Rattus norvegicus: one gene and its partners. The main gene of each other region encodes a partner of the protein of the gene in region 7 in a complex. Links are inferred from orthologs where the notes say so. Each region holds a gene or a part of one and is shown on either strand. Other genes may lie near its edges. The genes, in order: Cetn3, Ranbp2, Nup98, Nup133, Nup153, Nup93 and Nup107.

The links.
Region 1: Nup107 (region 7) and Cetn3 share a complex: the UniProt entries of both Homo sapiens proteins name them as parts of the nuclear pore complex. The link is inferred for Rattus norvegicus from reciprocal best matches to the Homo sapiens genes NUP107 and CETN3.
Region 2: Nup107 (region 7) and Ranbp2 share a complex: the UniProt entries of both Homo sapiens proteins name them as parts of the nuclear pore complex. The link is inferred for Rattus norvegicus from reciprocal best matches to the Homo sapiens genes NUP107 and RANBP2.
Region 3: Nup107 (region 7) and Nup98 share a complex: the UniProt entries of both Homo sapiens proteins name them as parts of the nuclear pore complex. The link is inferred for Rattus norvegicus from reciprocal best matches to the Homo sapiens genes NUP107 and NUP98.
Region 4: the proteins of Nup107 (region 7) and Nup133 are in contact, whole or in part, in a crystal structure (PDB 3CQG), measured with the Homo sapiens proteins. The link is inferred for Rattus norvegicus from reciprocal best matches to the Homo sapiens genes NUP107 and NUP133. Residues at the interface, in NP_065134.1 of Homo sapiens: Leu875, Gln876, Ala878, Asp879, Val881, Ser882, Ser883, Glu884, Tyr889, Lys894, Leu897, Arg898, Leu900, Leu901, Gln902, Arg905, Ser908, Leu909, Leu912, Asp917, Pro918, Leu919, Tyr921; in NP_060700.2 of Homo sapiens: Trp937, Leu938, Ile941, Asn942, Gln944, Leu946, Tyr963, Ala965, Lys966, Lys968, Thr969, Leu970, Gly972, Leu973, Lys975, Leu976, Ala977, Leu979, Ala980, Ser981, Asp982, Ile992, Glu999.
Region 5: Nup107 (region 7) and Nup153 share a complex: the UniProt entries of both Homo sapiens proteins name them as parts of the nuclear pore complex. The link is inferred for Rattus norvegicus from reciprocal best matches to the Homo sapiens genes NUP107 and NUP153.
Region 6: Nup107 (region 7) and Nup93 share a complex: the UniProt entries of both Homo sapiens proteins name them as parts of the nuclear pore complex. The link is inferred for Rattus norvegicus from reciprocal best matches to the Homo sapiens genes NUP107 and NUP93.

The regions. Positions count from the first base shown.
Region 1 is NC_086020.1:13,823,376-13,828,061, reverse strand, and holds the start of Cetn3 (centrin-3), read right to left. Parts: upstream 2,972-4,686; 5' UTR 2,884-2,971; coding exon 2,867-2,883; intron 1,337-2,866; coding exon 1,201-1,336; intron 1-1,200. UniProt on the Homo sapiens protein: Plays a fundamental role in microtubule-organizing center structure and function. As a component of the TREX-2 complex, involved in the export of mRNAs to the cytoplasm through the nuclear pores.
Region 2 is NC_086038.1:27,033,518-27,037,283, reverse strand, and holds the end of Ranbp2 (E3 SUMO-protein ligase RanBP2), read right to left. Parts: intron 3,202-3,766; coding exon 2,928-3,201; intron 2,802-2,927; coding exon 2,467-2,801; intron 1,955-2,466; coding exon 1,649-1,954; 3' UTR 711-1,648; downstream 1-710. UniProt on the Homo sapiens protein: E3 SUMO-protein ligase which facilitates SUMO1 and SUMO2 conjugation by UBE2I. Involved in transport factor (Ran-GTP, karyopherin)-mediated protein import via the F-G repeat-containing domain which acts as a docking site for substrates.
Region 3 is NC_086019.1:166,000,302-166,004,973, forward strand, and holds the start of Nup98 (nuclear pore complex protein Nup98-Nup96 proprotein), read right to left. Parts: upstream 3,066-4,672; 5' UTR 2,937-3,065; intron 1-2,936. UniProt on the Homo sapiens protein: Plays a role in the nuclear pore complex (NPC) assembly and/or maintenance. NUP98 and NUP96 are involved in the bidirectional transport across the NPC. May anchor NUP153 and TPR to the NPC.
Region 4 is NC_086037.1:68,790,953-68,793,902, forward strand, and holds part of Nup133 (nuclear pore complex protein Nup133), read right to left. Parts: intron 2,527-2,950; coding exon 2,462-2,526; intron 888-2,461; coding exon 799-887; intron 1-798. UniProt on the Homo sapiens protein: Involved in poly(A)+ RNA transport. Involved in nephrogenesis.
Region 5 is NC_086035.1:18,216,098-18,219,983, forward strand, and holds part of Nup153 (nuclear pore complex protein Nup153), read left to right. Parts: intron 1-1,579; coding exon 1,580-2,185; intron 2,186-3,886. UniProt on the Homo sapiens protein: Component of the nuclear pore complex (NPC), a complex required for the trafficking across the nuclear envelope. Functions as a scaffolding element in the nuclear phase of the NPC essential for normal nucleocytoplasmic transport of proteins and mRNAs.
Region 6 is NC_086037.1:10,790,869-10,795,388, reverse strand, and holds the start of Nup93 (nuclear pore complex protein Nup93), read left to right. Parts: upstream 1-1,451; 5' UTR 1,452-1,514; intron 1,515-4,520. UniProt on the Homo sapiens protein: Plays a role in the nuclear pore complex (NPC) assembly and/or maintenance. May anchor nucleoporins, but not NUP153 and TPR, to the NPC. During renal development, regulates podocyte migration and proliferation through SMAD4 signaling.
Region 7 is NC_086025.1:55,238,892-55,242,777, forward strand, and holds the end of Nup107 (nuclear pore complex protein Nup107), read right to left. Parts: intron 1,658-3,886; coding exon 1,490-1,657; intron 1,065-1,489; coding exon 957-1,064; 3' UTR 719-956; downstream 1-718. UniProt on the Homo sapiens protein: Plays a role in the nuclear pore complex (NPC) assembly and/or maintenance. Required for the assembly of peripheral proteins into the NPC. May anchor NUP62 to the NPC. Involved in nephrogenesis.

The DNA of each region.
Region 1 (4,686 bases), on a different chromosome or scaffold from region 7:
TACTTAGCATACAGGGGACAGCCAGAAACAGCTTATGAGCAACGAACATAGTCAAAGGATTCAAGAACAACAGGAATTAATGGTGGTGTAAAAGACAAGTCAGAAATGAGGACGCTCCAGCTATGAGACAAAGTCCCCATCTGTGATGGTCAATGACAACGAATAGCTAAGACACTGGACAGGAAGAACTCATGCTATGTGGAGGAGGGGAGCAGCAGCAAGAGAACAGTGGGTTAGGGAATGAGCTAAAGGAGGACCTCAAGACTGAGGCCAAAGCTTCAAAGTCTATTATTACTTTTAAATAGTCTATCATCTCGCTACATAGATTCTACCCCTATAATGTTAAAACTACTAAATGAACTTTTAAGGGTACTTAAAGAGATCAAAATGTGATCCTTCTTACTAGGCTGAACGTGAGAAATGTGTTCATAACCAATTTCCCCTTCCCTCTTTACTAGTAATTAAAGCCTTGGGTAGGACATTTTCCTTCTGCACGTAGCAACATTAGGCATCAGACAATTTATATCCTTTGTAACAGAGAAGAGTGTACTCTAAGAGTGTGCTAGTATTATCTTAAAAATTAAAAGTCAATCTCAAATGTCTGAGCAAAGTCAATGATCTCTCCATTTCAAAACTGTCAGTAAGAGTTCTCGCCCTAAAATCTTGAGGACCAGAGTTCAAATCCCCATCACTCATGTAAAGACAGGCATAGTTGTGGAGACAGCAGCGATCCCCAGAGTTCACTCTCAAGTGCTGAACTTCCAACTCAGGGAAATAGCCTGTCTCAAGGCAGTGGAGTAGAGTGATGGAAGATACACAGGCCCTATTCTGCCCACCACATGATACACAAGGGGATGTACAGGCCAGCAGGGGCACATGCATATGCCAAAAAATTTTGTTTTGTTAAAAATCTGAGCTATATCATCACACAGAAGAAAACAACTGTAGGAAGAACATGCTAAGAACTGTCCCTTTACTGGGTGAATGGAAAAGTTAGACTTCCCATCAAGATGCACTCTTACACTTAAATACAAGGTTCTAGAAGCCATACTCCATTTTTACTCCGTTTTCTTGTAGCACCTGTGGGTGGGCACTACAAACAGCCTCACAGTTCTGAAACAAGCTTCTAAAGTAGACTTTAAAGCAACAGGCACAAACGCAATTGAGTTAAACAAAAATGGATCTTAAATACCCTGTTACCTTTAATTCATGATAATCTATGGCTTGGTCTTTGTCGGTATCAAACAGTTCAAAAGCATCTTTAATTTCTTGCTTCTGTTCTTCAGAGAGTTCTCTTCGTTTTTTCCTTTTTGTTTTGTCTACTACAAGCTCACCTCTAGGACACAGAAAAATGCCTTTAGTCTACTTTAACCCAACTTAGGACAAAGAATCATTTTCTAAATTTCAACAGAGTAGTCTGGCACATAAAGAAACTGAGCCTAAGTTAACGTCCTGTAGTCCAAATGTACTTTTATAACCGAAATCCTAATCAAAGTTGAAAGCATCATACATATTATTCCTGTCATCTACCAAGAACATAAAAATAACCAAAAAAAAAAAACATACAAAAGTGAAATTCACAAATGACAACCAACTCACAATTACTACAAAAATCATCCATAAAACTTAAAAGATTACTTTAGCATTCTAAGTCCAAAATGTTTTTAGATTATACATTTCTAACAGTGCTTTGTGGTTTTATTCCACTGATATTAGCCAGGCAAACTATTAAAGGGCCTAAACATGCAAATACTAGGCGCCCAGAATCGCAGCATCTAATACTCGTGCTTAAGTCCACGACGTGATGTTTAAAAGTGTTTTAACTCTCACTTAACATGTAAACGATAGGTTAGACGTCTTCATTTAAAAACTCTGAAGTTTAAAGGAAATCTAAAAAGGGCACTTGGATCTGAAAATGTCTGCCTTAAGAGCTGCCAATGCAAAAAGCAGTCCAAATGTTTAAACGAGGATACGACACAACACGTGTATCAGCACGTTTTAAAAGATGGAAGCTTTAAAACCTCAAAATCTTAAAACTCGGCTGACTGTAACAGCGTCTCGTCAGGAACGCCCTCCGGGTGGACCAGACGTGGGAGATCAGTGCTGAGCGGGTGACGGTGGCAGCCAGGAATCTTTCTCACGTGACCCCAGCTCACACACACACACACACACACACACACACCCCCAGGCTAATGCGCGGTCACACACACACACACACACACACACACACACACTCGCCACACACCCACCCCAGGCTAATGCGCGGACACACACACACACACACACACTCGCCACACACCCACCCCAGGCTAATGCGCGGACACACACACACACACACACACTCGCCACACACCCACCCCAGGCTAATGCGCGGTCACACACACACACACACACACACACACACTCGCCACACACCCACCCCAGGCTAATGCGCGGACACACACACACACACACACACACACACACTCGCCACACACCCACCCCAGGCTAATGCGCGGTCCGGGGGCGCCTTTAAGTGTAGATGGACAGGGTGAGGAGCCAATGGGGAGGGGGGATGTCCGGAAGTGACTGGAGGGTGTCACGGAAACGAGATCCACCCAGGACGCCCAAAGCACAGCGTGCCACGGGACCCGGGCAGAAAGGCGAGCTCTCCTGTGACTTTCCGGAGGAAGCAGGCGGCCAGGCCCGAAACCCGCAGATGCGTGAGGGAAACCTCGCGAGACTTCACTCGGGGAGCGGCGCTGTGGGAGGCGGGGACCGCCGAGGTCTGATGCTCGGCACTCCTCGTCCGCTCCCGACTCGGCCTCCCTTCCACGCCCTCCCTGGCCCCTCTGGGGAACGGAGGCGCGGCCTCCTCGTTACCGACCTCAGAGCTAAACTCATTTTCTCTTCCGACAGAGGTGTTCCGCTCAAGGACTTTACCACGAGAACCGCTCAACAGCCACCAACCTCCACGGCCTCGGGGACCACCCACCTGACAGAAGTTTCTGGGTGCGATTGGCCGAAATTGCCAACAGCCGGCCCATTGGGGCGGAAGCGTCGATTGTCTTCTGTTTCCATTGGTCAGCATTCATGTCAGTCAAGTACACATTTCGCCCTGCTGTCTGTCTGACCCCTTGGATTGGCCAGATGCTTTCCTGAATCCTTTGCGCGCCTGTTAAGTCACCACGCGGGGTTCAGGCAGGCAAGGCTAGGCTCTACGGGTGACATGGTGCTGGAGTTCCGAGCACGCGTGCACAGCGTCGACCGAAGGAAGGGGAAGAAGGCACGGCACAAGCAGCCTGCTCAGACGGAGCAGTGATTGAGGAACCAGGTCTACAAAAAGATGTACAATTCTGGGTGGCTGGTACACCCGAGAAACTTAAATCTAAAGGTGATGTTCTCCAATCTTAGTTCAGTAACGACCAAGCTAAGCATTCTTCCCCGTACAGCTTTCCCAAGTGATTTTAAGGCAGACTGGATTAGTCTTTTCATTTTGTTGTTTTGTTAGGTCATGTACAGTGAGACTACCTAAACCATCCTTTTCTTCTGTGCGACTTGCAATGTATTTGTTTGCTTCTGCTCTTCACTTTCTAGTGCTGTAAACCTTGTGTGTGCATTCTATCTCCACTCCCCACCAAGCCTCTTGAAGCTTACTTCGATCACCAAGCTGCTAGACCGACTGTCCTCAAGGCCACAATTCCGTTTACACGAATATTTGTACCAAATGAAATATCTGGAACTTAGGTGTTCCATAAATACTTGATGCGTAAAACGAAGTCTTATTGTGGAAAACTTGGAAACTCCTGAGCTAACCAAGCAGTTCTTATAGGCATAAATACAATAAACTGGGGCTAGGTGTTAGAAAAGGGAAATACTATATCTAAATTTGTATGTGAAGGAAGGACACTGGGTAATTGGCTGTGTATGAGTTAAGCCTGGAGTGTAGATAGAAATTTGACTAGAGAGTTGGGATAGAACTAAAAAGTAATAGCTAAATGGTAGCATTCCCAAAACCAAAGTAGAGAAATGAAGAACTTGCTGGGCGTGGTGCTACATACTTTTAATCCCAGCACCCAATAGACATACAATCGGATCTCTGAGTTCTTTACATTGTGAATTCCAGGCCAGCCAGGACTAGTAGTGAGACTCTGCCTAAAATATAAAATTAAGTACTTTTATTTCTTAAATATTTAATGTTAACTATTTAGTGCACAGATATGAAGTTAAGTTAAACATTGTACAATTACCAGTGATTCATAAGTGACTGTTCTGGAGGCTGTACATAGATCATAGTGGTATGATAGGTAGAATAATAGCTAAGGCTACATCTTGGTATCCTGAAACCATAAATATGGTACCTAATAGGGGAAAAGATGTCTACGAGTCAAATTAGAATCCACACCTTGAGATATAATGTTAAAATGGGTCATGAGAGGGAACAGAGTCTAATCACAATGTCTAATTCTGACGAGTACAGGACTTTTACCCACCTGTGATCAGAGCCAGAAAAGACTTGTTAAGGCTCAGTCTGTTATCATGGTTTTGAAAACAGAGATGTAGAGAAGCATTCCCCTGAGTCATGGATGCTAGAAGCCGAAATCGAACAGTGAAGAATAATGATGTCCCTGGAAGCAGGAGTGACAGACATCAGGACAGTGATGAACACCACCAAATGCAAAAGCATAAATTACTTAAAGAGTTATG
Region 2 (3,766 bases), on a different chromosome or scaffold from region 7:
GTTAGTTTAACATGATATCTGTCACGTTTTTGAAAGGTCTTTAATAACCTTAATGGTTTGAAATAATATAAAATGTCTCTTAAAAAGCATTTGCAACTGTGGCACATGTAACAATGGAGATCAAGCATTCAAGTCCAACCTCAGCTACAAGTTCAAGGCAATCCTGGGGTACAGAAGATGAATTCAAAATTAAAAAAAAAATTCATTTACTTAGGTTAAAAATATGGCATCGACTTCTCAGCTGAAAAACTTCACCACTTTTACATGACTTTATATTACATGGTTTCCAAAAAAGCTACTAAGTGTACATGGTTCTCTTTAAAAGGCCAACTTGAGGTAGGTTATTTCATGTATCTGGTTGCGGGATTAAGTATTTTTATAGTGATGCTATTACATAAATTCATTAAGTAAGCCATAACCTGCCTTGTCCAATCTAATGGTTGGACACAAGAAAACAGGTGATTCAATACTTAAGTTTGGATTACAGAGAATTTTATGGTTTAACTAGATTCCTTTTAGTGTTATACTGAGTAGGCCCATAAGAACATCCCCTTCTGTTTACCTAACTTGACACAAACCATATCCAAGTACATTTTCAGTGTTTAGCAAACTCTTGGTGTTGAAGTTTGAGCTCAGAGAGTGCTGGCCTTTAACTGATCCCATTTTACATCTAGTCACAGAAGGAACAGACAACTTAGATGCACAAGTAATCAATGTTTTAAATGTCATGACTTATCAATCATCACTTTATTTCTGCTACAAAATTCACCAGAAAAAGGTACTGCAACAATCTAATATAAAGCAAATCTTTAACCAAAGAACATGGTATCGATCTTTTAAAAAATATTGATACTTTATCACAAGAACTAGAGAAAAATTCAATTCTATCATCAGGACCAAGCTGAAGTTTCTGAGGTAGTAGAGACAGGTAACAGAAAAGTGAATGGAAAGAAGGAAGAAAATAGAGAAGAAAGGAGGATGGGAAGGAAGAAGGAGAGAAAGCTAGCTAAGGAAATAATCGACTTATTTAAAATGTAAAAATTAATGTCTTCAAAAGAGCACAACACTTCTTAAGAAAAGACAGTATCCTACTTAAAAGTTAATTTTAACTATACAGGAGCATAAAAATTCCAGAAGAGCACTTTGGTTAACTCTCATCTTCTGTGGCTCTATTATTCATAAGTTGAGTCTATACATAGATGAGCACAGGAATAGTTTTATATATATACATATATATTTCAAATCTAAAATAAAGTTATCTGCATTGTGGTCCCCTTATTCAGTAAGTACCATGCAAGAAGTCCAGATATCTTAACAGGAATTAAAATAAGATTGCATATATCATATTCCTTCAATAGTCTGGGAAATTCTATTGCTTTTAACAAAATTAGTATTAGCCATTCTAATACAGATATGTCAGGAGTACATAAAAACAAGTACACCTGAAATACACCAGTGTTTAAACTTTTATTTCACACCATGCAAGATCAATTACACACTAAAAAGTGACAACAGCTATAAGCTACAATTTTACATTTATACATCAGAAACGTCTGTTTTCAAAAGGTGAACATAATTACTATACTGTGTAACAATTAAGCATAAATTCAACTGCTTATATAGATAAAATCCACTGTGAAAAATTATTTTATAGCTGTCCACATTCTGTGATACAAATTCTTCTACTAACAGACCCTTTAGGAGAACCAAATGATTCAATCTTTCTCACAGTATCCATGCCATCCTTAACAAACCCAAACACTACATGCTTAAAGTCCAAATGTTCTGCTTTCTTCAGTGTTATAAAAAACTGAGAACTGTTGGTATTCTGGCCGCAATTGGCCATGGATAGTAAGCCAGGACCAGTGTGTTTTAGATCAAAGTTTTCATCGTCAAATTTATCTCCATAAATGGACTGTCCTCCTGTTCCATTGTATTTGGTAATATCTCCTCCCTGAAAACAAACAAAAAGATCTTTCTGTTAATACTGATTCAAACATTGAAACACACAGAAATCAGCCTGATGGGGTAAATCATGAATGCTCTATTTCTTTTAGAATGCATTTGACAGCAAGGCAGTAGTGGTGGTGCACACCTTTAATCCTAGCACTCAGAAGGCAGAGAAAGGTAGACTTAAGTTTGGGGCCAGCCTGGTCTTCAGAGTGACCTTCAGGACAGCCAAGAGAACATAGAGAAACCCTGTCTCAAAAGAAATTTTAAAAAATTTGGAAACTAAAAAATATGTTTTGTTGTTTTGTTTTCAGTGGGCAATCGGGGGCAGACACTAAGCATTAGAAATTTGGAGCCTTTCAGACTGAATGTTTGAAAAGGAGTAATGTCCAATTACAGTGTGGGAAAACTGAAAATTCACAAGATGTGGATAAGGGCAAGAAGAAATACCTTCCCAAATCCGTGTGGTCTAATTTTACCAGATATCATGATGTATGTATGTACAGTAACACTTACTTGGCAAATAAAATCTGGAACTACTCGGTGAAAAATGGAGTTCTTAAAACCAAAGCCCTTCTCTCCAGTGCATAATGCTCTGAAGTTCTCAGCAGTTTGAGGAACAATATTTGAAAATAATTCCATGATTATCCGTCCTAGAGGTTCACCATCCACACAAACATCAAAAAACACCACAGGATTGGTCTCCTTAGATAATTCCGCTGCAAGGGATACTTGTCCATTCTGGAGTTTCATTATATTTTGTTGACATTCTTCAATTTTTTTCTTAAAACACTCAGTTATTTCCTTTGTCTTAAATCTCACTGCAAGCTGTTCTATTTTTGCTTCTCCATCTGTTAAAAGGAGGTGAGGGTGGGGATGGGAAGACCTTAATATTAAAGTTACTTACAAAGCATGTGTAGGTTATAGATATCAGAAAAGTCAAACAAATTAAAAGGCATTTGAATGTACACACTCACCAGCATAATCTGAGGCAGTCCAAACTAAAGCATTGTTTGAAAAATTTAAAGGTTTTAATTCCATGGCTTTGGTAATAACATGGTTTGCACACACTTTAAAAACTTGGTCTCTTCTCATTAGGATCCGATAATAATTCTTCACTGAATGCCAAAGAATCTTTATATCTCCAATACCTCTCTCCTTCCACTGACTGACATCTCTATCCCATCTATAAAGTTTGGCTCTCTCTTTGAACAAAACTTCTTCATCTTCTTCTCCAGATTTCACTTCTACCTATGACATAAGATGAGAATAACTTACATAAACGGCTAGTTATAACAAATGCTATTAACCAATGCCAAAAGGTTTTACAATATGGTATCTAATAGCCTACACTAGTAATATATCTGACTTGGTTAAGCATTAATGTGATTTATTATTACAAAGTTTATCGCTGTGGAAGAAAATGCCTTTAAAAGGTCAAGAGGTTTCAAAAATGTTGATTCTTGCCAAGCATGGCAGTATTCAGCAGTAATCCCAACACTGGAGTGGAAGGTCAGTTCAAGGTCAGTCTGAGCTGTATGAGACCAGTAAGAATGTGGTTCTTTGCATGGGTGCTCAACAATCCCAGCACTCCAGAGCCTGAGAGACAGATTACCACAGGTTTGAGGCCACTCTGGGCTAGTACTGTATAACAATATGCTGTCTGGAAAACTAACCTCACACCCAAGTGTTCTATTTTTATGGCATTTTATGATTATGGCTGTTTTGCCTGCATGTGTATCTATGCATTAAAGTCTTCCATTGCCCCGATGCCAAAAGTAGGTATAAAATCTCCTGGAAGCAGAATTACAGGCAG
Region 3 (4,672 bases), on a different chromosome or scaffold from region 7:
GTCAGCCTTAGGCTACATACCACGAATATTGTCAAAAAAAAGTTTTTAGACAGTTTATGAACTAACTTTACAAGTAAAGTAAAGAAAGAGCTTTACTAAAATGTAAGCAGTGATTTCACTCAGGGATATTTTTGATAATTTCTTGACCTTGGTAGTTACAACTTGGGCAGGAATGGCTAACTGCTATCAAACAGGTAGAGGAGGAAAGAAAGCTGTTACATATTCTACAACTCACAAGAGATCCTCCAAATTAAAAAATTATCTCAATAATCTCAGCTGCTATTTCAACAGCACACCAAAGTCTCATAAAATGCTTAATATCCGGCCTCTATTAAGATTTACATAATATATATACTCATATATACATATGTATACATATATATGTATGTATGTATGTGTGTATGTATGTATGTATGTATGTATGTATGTATGTATATGGGGGTGGTGGTGAGATGGAGTTTCTGTGTGTAACAACCCTGGTTTTCCTGAAGACAGATTTGTAGACCAGGCTAGCCTCAAACTCAGAGATCACCCTGTCTCTACCTCCTGAGTGCTGGAATTCAAGGCATAGAACTTCAGAATTTTATAGTCTTTTACTAGAAATTATTCGGTATTACAATACTGATGTCCTAGACTATCACCACACAAGTAATATTATTTCCCCAAATGTGAATTTGGTGGCCTTACAAGTATAATTAGATACCTAGGAGCTAGTGGCTACAAACCAAACCAAACCAAGTATTTCAGAAGTACACAAATATCTAGCCTGTTTCCTGGAATATTTTTCAGTTTAACTTTTCTACATTTGTTCATTCACAAAATACAACTGAGTACCACCTATGAGCCACATTACCTAAACATAAAAAAATTAAGTATCTATCATTTGTTTTTTGAGAAAGAGTCTCATTATGCAGTTTTGACTGGCCTGAAACTTTCTATACAGACCAGGCTGACCTCAAAGTCCCAGAGATCCACCTCCCTGTAACTCTGGAGTGCTGAGATTAAAGGCATGCCCATCACAGCCAGCAAGAAAAAAACTAAAAACAACCCCCCAAACAACAACAAAAGCCAAAAAAAACAAAAACAAAAACAAAAACAAAAAACCCTAAAACCAAAAAGGCAAAGAAAAACCCCCTAAAATCTAATAAAAAGACAAATAGTTAATATGTAAAATGTGTGCTAGAAGCAGAGATCAGCTAAGTGCTATGGAAGCTTACAAGGGAAAGTGTGCCAGAAAAAAAAAGCTTCCCAGGTGGTGATGCTCAAACTGAGAAAATGGTATAGAAAACACCAGGTTACAACTTTAAGACTTCAGTCCTCTTCTGTGCTTTTGCATTATTTGTTTTTAGGTTTTATGGTTTATATAAACATCAAAGTTACAAGCTAATGGACATATTCATCAAACTGACAACTAACTTCATCGAATCTTAAGTATCAGATTTAATTTTATCATTGTACTTCCCAGTACCCCTAATATGGTCACCCTCATTTTTTCTCCATTTTATTGAAATGAATTCAATTATTTCTTTTATCATATGTGTTAAGTGTCTGCACTTTTGTGTATGCACTAGTTCTCTGGTTTCAATTTTCAAAACTGGTCACATTACAGGCTTGCACCACATCTATATTGGTTTTATTCCCCACGCCCCTTGGCTTTTTGAGGCAGGGTCTCTCTTTGCAGCCCTGCTGTCCTGGAACCCAGTATGTAGAGTAGGCTAGCTTTGTAATCACAGAGAACCTCATGCCTTTGCCTCTCAAGCGCTGGGATTTAAGGTGTGCACTTTCAAGGTTAAAGTCTCTTTCACTATTTTTAAAGGTTCGTTCTCAAAAGTCTATGTTAAGTCTGGTTGTGATGGCAAACACCTTTAATTACATTACCTCAGCGGTAGAGGCAGGTGGTCTCTTTTGAGTTTGTGGCAAGCCTGTTCTACATAGCGAATTCCAGGCCAATCAGGGCTTTGGAATGAGAGCTTGTCTCAAAAAAAAAAAGGGGGGGGGGGGGTTGGAGATTTAGCCCAGTGGTAGAGCGCTTGCCTAGCAAGCGCAAGGCCCTGGGTTCGGTCCCCAGCTCCGAAAAAAAAAGAAAAAGAAAAAAAAAAAAAGCAAAAATAAAAAGTCCACATCAGTACTACTAATCAAGTTACCTTATAAAAGCGAAGATGGTTGCAGCTAAACTACTGGAACTATATTGAAAACTATGTCAAATGTCTGTGTCCTTCCCCTTACCAAATAAAGAATTGCCAATATTGGAAGACTGGAACATACAGGAAGGATGGAATAGTATAAAAATTCTACTAGACCTGAGCCAAGACTCCTGGGATTTCTGAATCCTGTCTCTTACTCTACCTCCCTCCCTCCCACCTGCAAAGCCTCTGACGCAGACTGGGGGTGATTGACAATTTAAAATGCTTATGGCTACAGTAATTCAGAAATTCAATCTTTCTCACCTAGGTTTACACGGAACAAAAAGAACCCTTCATTCCACTGACCAGACAATTGTCATTGTCTTAAAAAGCCAACGCAGTTCTGACTCACTCAACCCCTCTGGTTAACCCTAGACAAAACGCGTCCTGTAGAGTGGTCCAGAAAGTGATGGGGAGACCTCAAGTCCCCTAAGGCACCACCCCGCATGGGCCAGCCTACCACGGGCTGCTCACCTCCACCCAGCGAATGAATGAGTAGCACCGGTGAGAACGAGGTTCACTCAGAGTGGGCGGTCACCCAAGACCCCCCAGCCTACGCCCCACACAGTTGGATCCCCTCCATGGGCCTCCGGAACCAGGCCACAGGGCCGCGGGCCCCGCCCCCTCACGCAGGCCCGAAGGAGCGCGCCCGGCACGAGACTGGTCGGCGAAGAGGGCCCGGGTTGTCCGGCGCAGATGCCGGTACAGAGGGGATGATCTACCTGCCCAGCCCCGTCAGCGCTCCCGACTTACAGCGGTGTGTCTGGAGTGAGAGCCCAGGTCCTTCCGTCACCCGCCGCTCACCAGAGCAGCGCGCGACCGCCAGGAAACCGTCGCCACCGCCGCCGCCACCGACCGCCGCTTCGGGCGCAGCGCGTAGAGGCCCGACTGCGTCACACGCCGTCTACCGTCAGAGGTCGGCCCCAGGCGCTCCGCCCTTGGCGGCCGGGCATTGGCAGGCCGGTCCGCCACTCGAGGCCTACCCCGTTATTCATTGGGTGACGAGCGTTTTGAAACCGAACGTGAAGGCGGTCTCTGATTAGGAGCGGAGAGGAAGAGGAGGGGCGTAAGGAATTGCGGGGAGAGGGGGAAGAAAAAAAAAAAGGAGGGACTATGGGGAGGGACGAGGAGTCCCACTCTCTCTGCGGCAACGGTTGGCTGAGAAAGGGTCATGACGTCACACAGGGCCCTCGAAGAGGGCAGGTGAGTGGCTAGAGTAGTGAGCACCAAACAGCAGTGACGTTGGGTTCAGACCCCGCCCCTTTCCTTGGAGCGCGGAGACTCGCTACGGAAGCTTCGGCCAATCAGAAGGAAGACCCAAGGATGATATGGTAATTGTTCTACCCTTCTCTAGCTCCTTTCTGCGGGCAATCATGGGAAGATTCCTTGGCCATCTAGCTAGCACTTGCGGAGCTGGAGAACCCTTCCCGGAGACCCATCAGTCCACAGAGCTTGTCTGCAGACAATCCTCTCCCCACTGCTCTTTCCAGTGCAAGCCAGCCCTCGTACACTTTTCCCTCTGAATCTCTAGGGTAGACCTGAGCCATGGACTTGCCCTACAGAGCTTGATCCCAATGAGCATTCTTGGCCCTTCAGCCTCAGCTGCACTTTCAGAACCTGTACTTGTTCTGGATTTCTTGCGCAAATCTCCCTCCTTCTCCTGGACACATTTGGTAACCTTAACAAGTCCGGGTGAAGTCAAGACCTTGTTACTTTGTATCTTATTTATTTTCTGTTCTGTGCTTCCTCCCTCCCCTGGTCTGGGTCAAAGCTTCATTTTCATCCTTTTGATGTTTTTCCTCCTAGGACCTAGCTAAGAGCAGAGGGGTGGACATGTTCTAGAAATCGGACCTCTCTAATTATTGAGGTCTCACAGATAGCAGGAGCTGTGCTCAAAAGAGAGGGTACACGCTACTTCTCCACCACCTCCTGGGGCATCAGTATAGAACTGAAACGAGATTTGTTAAGAATTTTAAAAGGGGGTTGGGAATTTAGCTCAGTGGTAGAGTGCTTGCCTAGCAAGCGCAAGGCCCTGGGTTCGATCCCCACCTCCGGAAAAAAAAAAAAAAAAGACATTGCTCAAGAATTTTAAATGATTCCTGCAAATAAAAACAACTTGAAAGGGCTGGAGAGATAGATGGACTCAGCGATTAAGAACATTGCTGCTCTTACAGAGGTCCTGAGAGTTCAATTCCCTGCAACCACACGGTGGCTCACAACCGACTATAATGGGATCTATATTTTTAAAAGAATCTTAAAAATGAAGTGGTGTCGGGGCTGGTGATGTAGCTCCGTTGATACAGCGCATGCCTGCCAGTTCAATCCCCAGCAACACATAACTGGACATAGAGGTGCACAGCTGCAGTCCCAGCATTTGGGAGGTGGAGGTAGGAGGATCAGAAGATGACAAGACAAGGTAAACACTTTCTGCCAAGCATGTTAATGAGAGTCCATTCCTGGCTTTGCATAGTGGAAGGAAAGAACTGACT
Region 4 (2,950 bases), on a different chromosome or scaffold from region 7:
TTTCCTTCCACCACGTGGGGATGAACTCACGTCCTCAGGCCTGGCGGAAGTCTCTACTGCTGAGATGGCCCAGCAGTCATGTGTGAGCTGGTGACTGTGCCATGTGTGAGCTGGTGACTGTGCCATGTGTGAGCTGGTGACTGTGCCATGTGTGAGCTGGTGACTGTGCCATGTGTGAGCTGGTGACTGTGCCATGTGTGAGCTGGTGACTGTGCCATGTGTGAGCTGGTGACTGTGTGGCAGATGTGAGCTGCCCAGCATGGGACCTAGGAACTGAACGCCCGTCTGGTAACTGCAGAGCCATTTCTGCAGCCCTCTTGTCATTTACTCTTGAGCAGCTCAGGAAGGAAGGAGTACACCGAGAGTCTATTTCTCTTTTCACATCTGCAGTCTTTGCAGGAGTCAGCAGACAGTCATTTCAGTCAGACTTTGGCTGTTATAACCAGAGTCTGTGTCAAGGGGTGAAGAACTTCAACTGAACCTTGTTAACCCTGAGGCCCCAGTGCCAAAAACAGAAAAGCACCTTCACTGAGAACAAGGCTTATCCTGCACAGGATCCCAATTCATCTGACCCCTGGCACGGGTCATGTTGGCAACACACAATTCCCACGATATCCAAAATTAACTTGCAACGTTTTCTGTGTAACAGCTTTAATTGTCCTGGAACTCACTCTGTAGACCAGGCTGGCCTCAAACTCAGAGATCTGCCTGCCTCTGCCTCCTGAGTGCTGGGATTAAAGATGTGCTCCACCAAGCCCCCTGCAACATTTAATCTCTAATAGTTAATAAATCACCTACCATCTTTTATAAGTTTCTGCAAGATCTTCACAAACACACTGTCTTTAGACACTTCAATCGGATCGTCTCTGCCATCTGAGCCAGACCAGCTGAAAAAAAAATCACAAGGTAAACGGAATCATCATGGCAACTGACACATGGTTTTTGTTTGCCACTGTGGCCTTCTCCTGATAGCCATGGGATGACAGGTTCTGGGACACTGCTCTAAAGTATCAAAGTGACAGACTTTAGACATGGGACCTATCTACATCTGTATTGGCCTAAGCTACACTGGCAGCACATGCTATCAATTCCACCACCACAGAAGCTTTAAGACTTTGGTTTTTTGAACATGGCATTTTGCTATGTAGTACAGGCTAGCCCCAAACTCTATCCTCACGCCTCACACCTCTCAGGTGCTACTAGAATCACAGGCACGTTATCATACCTGTTGTGAGGCATCTTTCTGAAGAAAATGCTTCATTTACAAACCTAGTCAGCATCCTAGAATGCTGTCCCGAGCACAGCAGTCTAAACAGTTCTCAGCACTTCCTGTCTTTCCTGACCATGAGTGTGCGACCTCAGCTGTGGCCATGAAGATCCTGCAGCTGTTTTCTAGTGCTCCATGTACACAGCCACAGCCAATGTAAAACAAGGGCTTAGTGTGTAAACATTCTGCCATCCAGGTCTGATGTTGCAAGGTTGACACCAGGTGAAGAAGGTAGGGAAGGAGAGAACTTTCCACGGTTATTCTCTGACCTCTACCACACCCACATACAATGGCTAAACATTTGAAACTGGGCCAGGGAGTTCTCATCACAATACAGTATGTTTCTGAGAGCGAAAGACCTGGTCCTGCTCCTCACTCAGGAGCCTGCCTTGCATTTTGCCTAAGCAGCATAGTGGAGCCAGTCCAGGGCAGAGAGAGGGAGGGAGGGAGAGCTGGCCCAGCCCCTCCCAGGCTGGTTCCTTGCCTTAACTGGGCAACACAGTGAAGCTGGCTCTGGAGGATGTGCAGGTAAGCCAGCCTAAGGGCACGACAGCCAACCTTGCTCTTGCTGACGGTGGCACTGGGTGGCCTAGCTGGAGCAGTGGAGAGCTCCCCCTGGTGGTGCGGATAAGGTAGAGCTGGCAGGCTGGCCAGCTCAGCTACCTACCACAGGCCTAGATTCAGGGCTCTGATTGGCCCACAGTCTATATACTCTTCAAATGGCGAGAGATGTGTGTAAGGACCAGCCCTGCTGATCCAAACCTGTAGGATCTCCATGACACAGAGCAACAACAGGATAACCAGGAGAAGGTCCAGTAAGGACCCAATATTGACGATGTCACAGAAGCCAGAGATGTGGAGCCAGACCAATAAGTCATTGCAATGAACAGAGCAAGTAAAGATGTATGGACAGATGGACATACTGTGTGACACACTGTGACATGTTACAGCTTCCAAGATGGGATGTTTCTATGCTTTTGTTGTTTGTTTTACTGGGGGAGTTGCAAGGGCATAGGAAGACAGACAGAAGGGGTGGGGAGATGAGTGGGGTTGGAGTGCACAACGGGAAACTCAATCAATACGCAGTAACCCATGGTGTGTTACGCTAAAGGTGAAACACCCAGAAGCACGTAAGCCATCTTGTGTGCCCAGTCACGGTTCCCACCCGTGGACCTGGTGCCCGAGAGGACTTACTCGTCTCTCTGCAGCGCTCTGCACAGGATCTCCAGTTTCAGGTCATCGATGTTCACATCTTCCTCCTGTACAGCAAACAGAGCAACCCGACTAAAGCTCGGCTTCACTGAAGAGCACAGTAAAACTTCATAATCCTGGCCCCAAGTTATACTGCGTTCACACGAACTCACAACCACCGCCACCTAGAAACTTGCCTATGCCTATGAATATTTTGCTGATATGTATATAAATGTACTGTGTGTGTGCATGATGCCCAGGGAGGCCAGAAGAGGGCACAGGATCTCCTGGAACTGGAGCTACAGATGGTTGTGAGCTGCCATGTGGGTGAGGAACACACCAGGGTCCCTGCAAAAGCAGCAGGTGTCCCTGCCTGTGACGCTCCAGTCCCCTTTACCCTCTCCAGTGTTTGCTCTGCTGACAGCTGTGCTGGTCCCACTGAGTTCATCAGGAATCTCAGAGGTTAAGATGATAAAGGGTCGGGCAGGGAAA
Region 5 (3,886 bases), on a different chromosome or scaffold from region 7:
AGTTTGCATTCATAATCTTGACATCCATCCATCCATCCATCCATCCATCCATCCATCCATCCATCCTGAGACAAAGTTTCTCTTGTAACTTTGGCTGTCCTGGAATTCACTCTGTAGACCAGGCCTCATCCTGCCTCTGCCTCCCAGTGCTGAGATAAAAAGTGTGAACCAAAAGCGTCTGCTACCACCACCCAGCATCATGTCCCCTTTTAACTAAGCTTTACATAGAAAACAGTAGGAGACTTAATTTGAATTGAATTTGGAAAACCTGACAATGGAAGGAAAAAAAAAAACATTCAGTGGCTCCCAGGGAAAAATTGCTTCTGGGATTATGCCAGCCTGATCATGGGCAGCATATGGAAGCTCATGACTTTCATTCTCTTTTACTTTTTGAATATAGGGTGGAACTGTGTGAACGTGGCTGGCCTGGAAGTTCACTGGGCCATTATGTTAACTAGGTTGTTCACAAACAAATGATCTGCCAGTGTTGCCTCCAGACTGCTAGGATTAAAGGAGTGCCCTACTCTGCTTGGCTGGATAATACCTTGACAACACTAGACAGACTGTACCAGTCTTTCTTTTCTTTCCTGTGGTACTAAAGGCTGGGAAAACCAGATCCCTGATGGTGTGGGTGTATGGTATGAAAGGTAGCTTGTTTCAAAGAAAGACATTTCCTAGGTATTGAGTCAATTTAATGAAAGCTTCCCCACTTCCATACCAGAGTTCCATGTGAATATTTTTCTTAAACTATTCCTTCAGTACTTCAGCAAGAAGTACTCCAAAACTGTATTGATGAGCGATGTCACGCATCTAACTTGGGTTTCTGTCACTAAGATTTCTCCTTGGTGAGGACAGACAGTGTCTTAGTCACTTTGTTTATAGGCCTGTCTAGAGGTTTGCCGCATCTTTGTTGGGACTTAACAACTGTTCAGTTTTAAAGGTGACTAATTAAAAGACGATCCTTGATCTAGGCTTAGGTGGTGTACACTCTAATTCCAGCACTTAAGATTGGGGGCAGGTGATGAACTCAAGTTTGACCTCAGCTAGATACTGAGACCCTATGACAAAATATCAATCCTGGATAGATGGAAGGACTTCTATGAAATGCCTGTTTTACACTGGCCTTTAGCCGGACTTCAGGTAGAAGACAACACTGGATTTTTGACTAGGCAACACTTAATGATCATAGATACTGAAGTCATGTGACATAGCTGTGGGAATACTTGGAAGAAGCAATGGATGAGGAGGAAGACTTGAGTGTACTGAGGTCATTGTTGTAGGGAGGCAGAATGACATGTGGTAGGTAGCAGTGACAGACTAGAGAAAATTGTGTATAATGTAAAGATGACCTGTTTCTATATTTATAGAACTTAGATTTAAATAAGTAGATTTAAATGTCATATAGACACATAATGATATGCTTGTGTAGGTAATTTAAAAAAGCTTAATCATTCTCAGATTGTATAACCTGATAGTTGTGGAAACCCTCCCCCCTCAATAATAATGATGTAGTTAATTATTTGATTAGAATCCCACTGGCTTGGTTTAGAGGAACACTCTTCTTTTTTCTTCACTGTAGGTTTCATGTCACCAAAGGTTGATTCTCCTGCTCTTCAGCCCACAACTACAAGCTCAATAGTTTATACAAGACCAGCAATAAGTACTTTTTCTTCTAGTGGGGTTGAGTTTGGAGAAAGTTTAAAAGCTGGATCATCATGGCAGTGTGACACATGTCTACTCCAGAACAAAGTCACAGACAATAAGTGTATAGCCTGTCAAGCAGCAAAACTGCCACTGAAAGAAACTGCTAAACAGACTGGAATTGGGACACCAAGCAAAAGTGACAAGCCAGCTTCTACATCAGGGACAGGTTTTGGAGATAAATTTAAACCAGCAATAGGAACTTGGGATTGTGATACCTGTTTAGTGCAAAATAAGCCTGAAGCAGTAAAATGTGTAGCCTGTGAAACACCCAAACCTGGCACTGGTGTGAAGCGAGCCCTTCCATTGACGGTGGCTTCAGAAAGTCCTGTGACTGCTTCCTCTTCTACCACCGTGACCACTGGTACACTAGGATTTGGAGATAAATTCAAAAGGCCCGTGGGATCTTGGGAGTGTCCGGTATGCTGTGTTTCTAATAAGGCAGAAGACAGCAGATGTGTCTCCTGTACATCTGAGAAACCAGGTATGTTTTACAGCTATGGCTATGAAATAGTTTTACTCATTACTTTGGTAGAACATTTAACTGTGAGACGGCCTAGAAAACCCTGGTGTTTAAAATGGTTCCAGACGAGCATTTCTTATGTCTTAATTTTTTAAAAACTATCTTGGAGTTTACATCTCTTGATTAGGTTTAGATTACTTGTTCTCACAGACTAGGTTGTGAACTGACACATTCTGTGCTGCTTGTTCTGTGTGGTGTCATTAGAATCTAATAATAACAAGTGAAGGTACTGAAAGCTCGCAGTGGTTTAGTCTTCCTCAGACCATCTTGCTGTGTCTCCTTTGTCTATGTAGAAATGAGGGTGGTTGGTCATTTGCAAGGGGTTCTTCAAAAAGTAGGTAGTCATGCTTTAATCTGGTGCTTATTTCTGAAGATTATTGGTGTTCTCTGTAGCCATGTGCTGTCTACCAGATTGTAATTTAATTAATTTTGGTGAAAAACTCTTTAACTTGGTTACAAAAATGGAATTTGGTTTGAGATTCTCTTTATTTTAGAATTATTATTAGCAGATTTATTTTTAAATTTGTTTTGAAAGTGTATAGTAATATAGATAGCAAATAACATGTTTATTGTAGGAGTTAAGACTGTAGGAGTCACATCAGCTGTGGGTCTGTAGACATTCTGTAATGTGAGATTTACTAGCCAGATTTCTTTCCTGAGCTCTTCCTATTTCTAGTTAAAATTGGCATTAAAAGAGGATCCTGATTTCAAAATATTTAACTCTTTCCATCTGGCACTGTCTCCTCACCTCAACAAAAGTATATATGTGGAGAAAACTAGAATTCTGAGTTGACAGATGTGAGATTTTGAATCAGGAAGTAAATTATTTAGGAGCAAAGGAATTTTATGAATTAATATGAAAATACCACCACCTTTCTTCTGGGCACAATGCCCTGTCAACAAACGGATGATTTGGTCAGGTTAATTTTTTTTCTTCTAGTTTTCAGATAGAGTTTATGTAAGCCTTGCTGGCATGGAACTTGATTGATAACATAGTGTAGATATAATTATATCAAATTTGGCCTGGTCATTTACAGGGGATTCTTTAAGAGGTAAAGAACCTGTCTCTGCCTCCAGTTCTCATTTTATTTTTGGGTGGAAAAATTTTTTTTGGTATGTGTATGTGCATCTGTTTCTCTGTGTATGAGCATATGTTAGCCTGAAGAAGCCAGAAGAAGGTATTGGATTCCCTAGGACTAGAGTTAGAGATTGTGTTTCAAAACTAATCCAATCTGCAAGAGCAGCAAATACTTTTAACTGCTGAGCCATGTTTCTAAGCTCAAACTGTACCTAATATTTCAAGTTTATTTATACATTTATTCATTTTATGTGAGTGTTTTGTCTGTATCTATGTGTGGTATGTATGCATGTTGCCATAACTGCTTGACATCCATGAAGGTTAGGTGAGGGCATCAGATCCCCTAGAATTAGAATTAGGAATGATTGTGAACAATGCAGCAGAATTCAAGGTAGCAGAATTTGGAAGGACAGCTTCGGAAGTTTGCGTGAGTAATATAAATGGCAGATAATGGTGACAAAGGATCAGATGGTAGAGTTGGATAATGAGGGAGGATTTAGAACTATGTACTAATGACAGATTTCAAGGTGGTAAAGTTGACATTCAGATATATATTTGAGGCTTTTGAATTCATCACAGGGACT
Region 6 (4,520 bases), on a different chromosome or scaffold from region 7:
ACAAATGTATAGACATACACATGCAGGCAGAAAGAAGTTCTATGCGGCTGACATGCTAATTATTGTGGGCTTCCTTGACCGATAAGTGTGTTTAGGTTCCCTAAGCATATCAGGCAAAGCTTAATAGAACACTTTATCAGGCAGGCATCCACCAAACTAGAATTATTAATGGTGACAATTTTATCTAGGCCTGTGTTCACATGTACCTCATTATGTCAGGTGGGTGACCTTCACTGAAAGATTAGACATGTCTGAGACTGTGCAACCCAAAAAATGCCTCTTTAACAAGTAAACGCTATTATGGGAGCTGAAGCAATGGCTTAGCATACTTCTCTTGCAAAGGACTTGTTGGGTTTCCTTCTTAGTACCCATGTCTCACAACCACTCCGGCAGATCCGATGACCTTTTTTGGCCCCCTTGGGCACAAGGACACACACACACACACACACACACACACACACACACACACACACGCACACACACACATTCTCCTCCCAGCAGTTGCTGAGATCTGTAGCTTGCCTGTACTGTTTTGTCTTTTCTTTTCTTTTCTTTTCTTTTCTTTTTCTTTTTTTCGGAGCTGGGGACCGAACCCAGGGCCTTGCGATTCCTAGGCAAGCGCTCTACCACTGAGCTAAATCCCCAACCCGCCTGTACTGTTATTTTTCTCTCAAACTTCCAGCAAAATTGTCTTCCTTCTGGGTCTGTTTTCAAATTTCTTTTTACTTACTAAACTAAGAACCTCCAGAAGGATTCTTATATATCCCAGTGACACACTTTGTTCCACTTCCCAACATGGCTACACTGAAGTAAATCTCTTTGAAGTTTCACCACTGTTCTTTTCTGTAATTGGCCTACTGGGGCAGGCGGCCAACCTAGCTTGCTTGTTCAGACTGCCAAAACACAGACTTTTCCCTTAAAAACTCCAAAACATGTTTTTAGCTTCCACCTTTTAGTCAGAATGTCACCTGAGAGAAGCCTTCCTTGGTAACCCAACCATTTTTCTTCAGTTAATTTGCTTTTCTGTTCTTAGCTCTCCTAATTACTCCTGTATTTATTCACTATATTTTGTTTCCCTGGCCAAGCTGAGAATCGTTTGAAGTCAGGGATCTTGTCTGCTGCGGAAGTCACCGTGTCCCCAACACCTAGAACAAGCCCAGGCACTTGCCTAGAGCTCTACAGCGAGTAGCTGAGCTCTCTGGTTTGGTCCAGCTGTGGGAACTGCGGAAATGCTTTCTCAAGTACTGTCAACCTGAACTACGTGGGCGGGAGAAGGGCGGAGCTCCCTTGACTTACTTGTAGCGACAGCTCCGCCCCTGGTTCCGCCCCAGCCCCGCCCACGTCTGTGTTCTCTTGCGGATCTCCATAAAGTTCACTTGGCGGCGCAACGCGCAGGGGCTTCTGGGAGCTGACCGCCTCAGCCAATCAAGAAGCGCGGGCGAGCGGCGCGAGAAGCGGCGGCGGCGGCGTAGTGAAGTAGCCGGGAGCTGGCGGCGAGCAGGCGGCAGAGCCAGGTAAGGCATGTGCGGCGTGGGCGACCACGCGACCCCGATCCTGGGCCTGGCCCGAGTTCGGGGTCTGGCCTCGAAGCAGAACCCCGAGCCTAACTCGAACTCCATCCTATGTTCGTAGCCACGAGGCTCGCGCTTCCTTTCTTGTGGTGGCTGGCTGGGCACGCCGACCGGCGACAGCTCACCGAGTGCTGTGACTAGGCTCTTCTGAGCGTGGTCCTTCCTACTGGTGCACTATCGCCACGCCCACCCACGGCTGCCAGGCGTCACTAGGCCTGGCTGCCCTCTGTGGGTCGTGGGGGGCGTTCTTCTAGAGAATGGCTTTTCCGGGTGAAGGGAGGCCACCCAGCGAACCCCTGTCAACTGTTGTCTCCTTTTACGGATAATCCAACAGGATGCTAATGGTTGCCACTCCGGTTGTCTCTTCTGTTTCTGGGTACCCTGTATCCTATCTTCTGTAAGGAGTGCCCAAATATATTGGGTCCCTTCTAAAAGAAAATCACAGCATGCCGGGCATGGTGTCACTGTCAAAGGGAGTTGGAGCCAGGCTGGTCTACATTAGACCCTGCCCCACCCCTACCTCACTAGATGACTTTCAGCACAAGCAAAGGTCAGCACTTTAGTAACAATAACAGTAATAATCATCATCATCATCATCATCATCATCATCATCATCATCCACCCCTAGTTCCCTAGATGACTTTCAGCACAAGCAAAGGTCAGTGCTTTAGTAATAATAGTAATAATAATAACAACAATAATATAAGCCCCCCCCCCATAGTGAGCTGTAAGGCTTTTAAATAATGTGACCCACATTCTCAGAGTCTGTTACACCCCCCCCCCCCCCCACCGCTACCACTGCTAGACATGCTTTGACTTCAGGTCTTAGTTCTTGTGGTTGGATGTCTGTTTTGCCAGCTCTAGAGGGGCATTTAGAGTGTAAACCTTTCCTCACTCCTTGTCTTCACTGCCTTAGTTGTATTCCAATATTTAGGTTCTACTCGACCTATGTCTTGTCTCTCCGCTGTAGAACATGAGCGCCTACCTAGAACCTGGGTCTGGCACACAATAAAGTAGGTGCTCAATAAATACCAAATAAATGAATGTTATTGATATCATTATAGGCTTGTGAATGTGGTGGTGAATGAGACAGGCTTGTTTCTTGGGAAGACATCATATATATAATATATATTATATATACATATGAGTGTATATACATATGTACATATATGTGTGTGTGTATATGTATGTATGTGTGTGTATACACACACACACACACACACACACACACACCATGAGAGATGAACTGTTGGAGCTGTGGTGAGTTTGGGGTCTCTGTCCCCCTCCCCCCTCCTTCTTGTGTGACTTTTATGTATATGGATATATGTATGGAGTCCAGAAGAGAGTGTCTGGTTCCCTGGAGCTAGAGTTACAGACAGCTAGCTGTAAATCACTGATGTGGGTGCTGGGAACTAAACTGGGGTCCTCTAAAGAGCTGTAAGTTTTCTTAACTGCTGAGCCATCTCTCTAACCCCTGGGCCTATGAGGTAGTTACATTTAGAAGTGTGGGTGTGTGTGTGTGTGTGTGACAGAGTAAAGATCAGGAAGAAGACCCAAGTCTGTTATGGTCACTGGTCATTTTAATTAGCAAACACATTTTTAGTTCTGTTGTGTGCCAGGCTTAGCTAGATGCTCAGGATTCAGGGTTAAATATTTGTGAACCTTTCCCTACAGGAAGACATGTTTGAGAAGAAGTGGTTGCAATTGCTCCACTAGGGAAGAACGTTCAGTATAATTAGGGAGTCCTTTGGGTAGGTTAGAGCAGCCCTCTGACTTGGCAGTATGCTTAGGAGCTCCCTGTGTCTGGTGAGGATGTGAGTGTACTTGACATGGACTGGAGCATGAAGGAAGGAAACTATGCAGAGCTTCCTAAGGCATAGAGAACTGTCAGGGTACAGCTGGGGAGGAGTCGAAGATGGTGCATGGCACTGTCTATTCTACAGAGCATGCAGCCAGGTCACAACCTGAGGTTGAAGGTGCCCCTGATGGTCTAAAGTAGGAGGTATTTTGGAATATCCACTTTGGCCACAGCAAGACTGGGTTAGAAGAAATGGGAAGTTTTAGGCTGTTGAGGTAATTGGAGGAAGTTATGAGGGTCAGAGCAGAGAGGAAAGGTGAGGGTGTGACTCGTTATGAGGTATGAGAAGTAAACTTGGAGATAGGCTGGGCTCGGGGGAGAGGGGAGCCAGATGGTTTCTGGTTAAATTGACTGTTGTGGGGACCTAAGATGAGGAACTAGAATTGTCGCTGGCACTCATAGATCAGTCAGGAGTAGCTATCAGATAGACGAGTAGAAAGAATTGGTTTGGAGAAAGAATTAGAATTTAAAGATGCAGGAGTTTTGTTTGTTTGTTTGTTTGTTTGTTTGTTTGTTTTTTTGCCTTATTTTATGGCCTCTTATAGTTCTCTCTCCTCTGTTTCAAATAACCTAAAGGTTGAAATGTTTTGTAGCTTTATACTTTGTATGCATTTGATTGTGTGTGTGTGTGTGTGTGTGTGTGTGTGTGTGTGTGTGTGTGTGTTGGGGGTGGTGAGATGCATGCCCATGCGTGTTTGTGGATGTCCCAGGTCAGGAGTCTTGAGGTTGGCGTTGGATGTTTTTGTTGCTTTTTGAGACAGCAACTCTCTCTGAACCTGGAGCCTACCAATTGGCTAGACCAGCTTACCAATGAGTCACCCAAGATCTACCAGTCTCTGTCCATCCCTCCCTCAGTGCTGGTGTCAAATTGATGCCACCACATTCAGCTTTATACATGGGTACTGGGGATTCAAACTCGCATCCTCACGCTTGCGCTGAACTCACTTTTCGCAGTCAGCGGCCTTCTGTTTGTAAGGACTAAAGGCCACTTTACTCCACCAATGCGCTCAAATAGTAGCTTAATCTAACTCCAGTACACAGTTACTGACTACCAGGAAAACCTCAAGCACCTCCAGAAATTTCTGTTCTAC
Region 7 (3,886 bases):
AGTTGAAGGATTAGTATTATAAACAATCCCGTTGTTTAGATTATCCCTATTTTACAACATTGCTTTGGATGTGTAGACTTTAATTTTAAAGCAAACTATTTCAACATGAAGTGCAGATTTTATGACTCTGAACCCTAAATATTTCAGCTTTTATCTCCTAAGAATGAGGGGGTACAGTTCCCACATTGACAGAACTCCAGTGATCACATCTAAGAAAACTAATACTCATTCAACAATGCTGAAAGATTTACACATCACATGTGTGTGACGTATGTGCACATGAGTGAAGCTCTTGCCAGAGGGCTCAGATCCTCTCTTCAGATGGGGTTAGAAGTCACTGGGTTTGCCTCCCATGAGAATGCTAGGCTGTCTGTTCATCCTGTGTGTGCCTGGTGCCCAGAAGCCAAAGGAGGGCACTGGACTTCTGAAACTGGAATTACCGATGGATGTGAACCAAGGTATGTGTGCTGGGGAATGAATCCTGACCCAGTGCTCTAACTGCTGAGCTACCCCTCCAGCTCCATGTTAAAACACTCTTGCTATTCATCCTGAACTTAATATTCAGAAAAATACCCAGTTTTATGATGAGAAATTACTTATCTGGATTGAAAACGAATCTATTCTTTCTTACCTACTCTCTTTAAACATTAATGTCAGGAATTTATGATTATAGGGAAAATATTTCACTTCTTTATTCTATTACATAAGAGAAAACGTATCTATAGAACAAAAAATTTATTTTGTATAATTTCTTTAAAAAATACATAAGGAAATACTGATATAATACAAAATTCAAAAGCCAAAATTTTACATTTTCCCCAAGAATGCCAAAGGAAACAAACAAACAAATAAACCAATAATTACAAATATGTATATCTGACCAAAACCAACCAACTAAGCAACACAGCCAAGCAAGCAGGCATCCTCTTGTAGTCACGGGCGCAGAGAATGGTGAATTATGACTGGATTTCATAGCCGAGCGGGTCAAGCCCCTGGTCTAGGAGCATCAGCGAGGACTCCCTTAACTTCTGCAGCAGTTTCCTTAGTTCTTCCTTAGAAAATACCTGACATTTAAAAAGGAGAAAAAAAAAAACATTAAAAATGAGAATATCGGGGTTGGGGACTTAGCTCAGTGGTAGAGCGCTTGCTTAGCAAGCACAAGGCCCTGGGTTCAGTCCTCAGCTCCGAAAAAAAAAAAAAAAGAGAGAATATTAACTTTTTAAAAAACCTAGTCAATCTTAAGAACCTTTCCTTGAAGCTCTATCTGTCTATGTGGCTCAGAGACCCACCTCCCGCTCCTTCACAGCAGGCTACTTACTTATCTATGCTCAAATGTATGGACACTTTTGAAACTAAGTACACTGAAACTAGAACATTATTTTCAGAAAACGCAAGAACTAAAATATGTAAACAGGGGTTTATTCACAAATATTACCATGCAAGCATATCAAGTGAGTAAAAGTTACACTGCAAATGGTCAGGGACTCACCAGATAGAGCTTGTGGCGCTCAGAGGACACCATGTCGGCCAGCTGCAGGCACTCCTGGTATTGCCCGGTGCTGTGCAGTATGGTGTGAAGCAGGAAGCACAGCATGGGGAGACAGAGCTTTCTCAGCAAAACCATCTGATGAGCTCGTTCCGGGTCTTCCTCAGCGTCCTGCAGACAAGCATCCAGGCTGCAGCTGAACAACTATACGCTATGTACGTTACCCACACAGAAGCCAAGTATAGCTGGCCGGTGTGGGAGCTGACACCTGCCACCCCAAACCTCAGCACCCAGGGAGCCACTGCAGGGGGCACGCGCAGGGTGAGGCAAGCCTGGTCTATACAGCATGCTAGAAAGATCCTGTCTCAAAAACATTAAAACAAAACCAACAAGTAATTAAGTAATTCCACTAGGAATCAACAGATTTAACCAACGGCAAATGAAAATGTCAAGGGAAAGCTGTATCTACATTAAACACGCACACTTTTTATTATTATTATTATTATTATTATTATTATTATTATTATTATTATTATTATTATATTAGCTAAGCAATCCAGTATACAACTGTTTAGATAGCATTTGTGGTAAAGTAGGTATCTGTGATCTGAAAGGAAGTTACAGACCAGGAGGATGTGTGAGGGATTCATGAAAACATCAAACACTCCATTTGCTATGATGAAAGGGAACAGTTTTGTCTCCACCAGGTCCTAGAGTGGCCTAGGCACGTTGAGGGTGGACTACTTAGTCAAAACCAGGAAACACTAAATTTCATTTTCCAAATCTTATCATGCCTATATTTTAAAATGTATGTGTACATTTGTATGTGAGTGGGTACAGGCATACATGTGTGTATAAGTACCAGAGAGTAACCTTGGGTGTCGTCCTCAGGAGCAGTGTCTGTCTCATTTGAGACAGGGACGCTCACTGCTCTGGAACCCACCAATTGGGTTGGACTGCCTTGCCGACAAACGCTGGGTTCCTCCTGTCTTTCCCTCCTTAGTGCTAGCTAGCACTGTAAGGAGAGCTTCTAGGGACCAGATCCAGGTTCTGGAGCTTGAAAGACATTATATACCTGAGCCATCACTCTAGCCTTCATCATACCTACTAAAATATAAAACTGGCAGTGTCAATCATATTATCTGGCCTATCAAACTAGATTTTTTAAAATATTTGTTTATTTTATGTATGTGAGTACACTGCTGCTTTCTTCAGATACACCAGAAGAGGCGTGGGATCCCACTAGAGATGGTTATGAGTGGTTGCTGGAAATTGAACTCAGGATCTGTGGAAGAGCAGCCAGTGCTTTTAACTGCTGAGCCACCTCTCCAGCCCTGATTGCTTTTTTTTTTTAGTAAAATTTTAGGGTCAAAGACATGAGGATGAAGAGAATGTGCCAGAGGAGACTGTGAAACACGACACTGCCAAAGGACCTGCAAATGCACCCAGACTAACGGCCCACAAAAGAACCAGAGGCCGAACATCGTAAGAGTAAAGCAGACAAAACTACCAGCTACTTCCTCAGTCCATTAATGCACGATAACTGTCGTACCCTCATCAGGCCAGCAAGGGTCAAGACAGGGATGGCCGTCTAAGGACTCGGAAGCTTCTAGGAGAATATTTCTTTGCACAGTTTTAAAAAAAATAGAAAATTTTAAAGCGTGAGGCCTTGAATAGTGGTGACTAAGAGAACAGAGACTGTGTCTTAGCTGTTAGGAGCACTGGAGGCTCTTCCAGAGGACCCTAGTGTGATTCCCAACATTCACATGGTGCCCAACAACTTTAACTCCTGTACCAAGGGATCCAATGCCCTCTTCTGTGCACAGGCATACATGCTGGCAACAGGTTCATAGACATGAGATAAAGACTAATTTTAGCAGGGACTGGTAGTGCATGCCTTTAATCCCAGCGATCAGGAGGCAGAAGCAGGAGGATCTCTGAGTTAGAAGCCAGCCTGGTCTACAGAGTAAGTTCTAGGACAGCCAGATCTACACAGGGAAATCTTTCCTTAAAAATAGAGATGGGGAAGGGGCTGGAGAGATGGCTCATTGGTTAAGAGCACTGGCTGGCTGCTGTTTTAGAGATTCTGAATTCAATTCCCAGCAACCACATGGTGGCTCACAACCATCTTTAGGAAGATCTGATGCCCTCTATAGGCAGGCAGGTATATATGCAGCAGAACACTCATACATTAAATAAATAAACTTAAAAAAAAAATCAATGACTATGATTCTTTTCTTTTTTTTTTTTTTGGTTCTTTTTTTCGGAGCTGGGGACCGAACCCAGGGCCTTGCGCTTCCTAGGTAAGCGCTCTACCACTGAGCTAAATCCCCAGCCCCAATGACTATGATTCTTAAAAAAAAAAAAAGAGAGAATGTCAGAGACAGAGAGATATCGGAA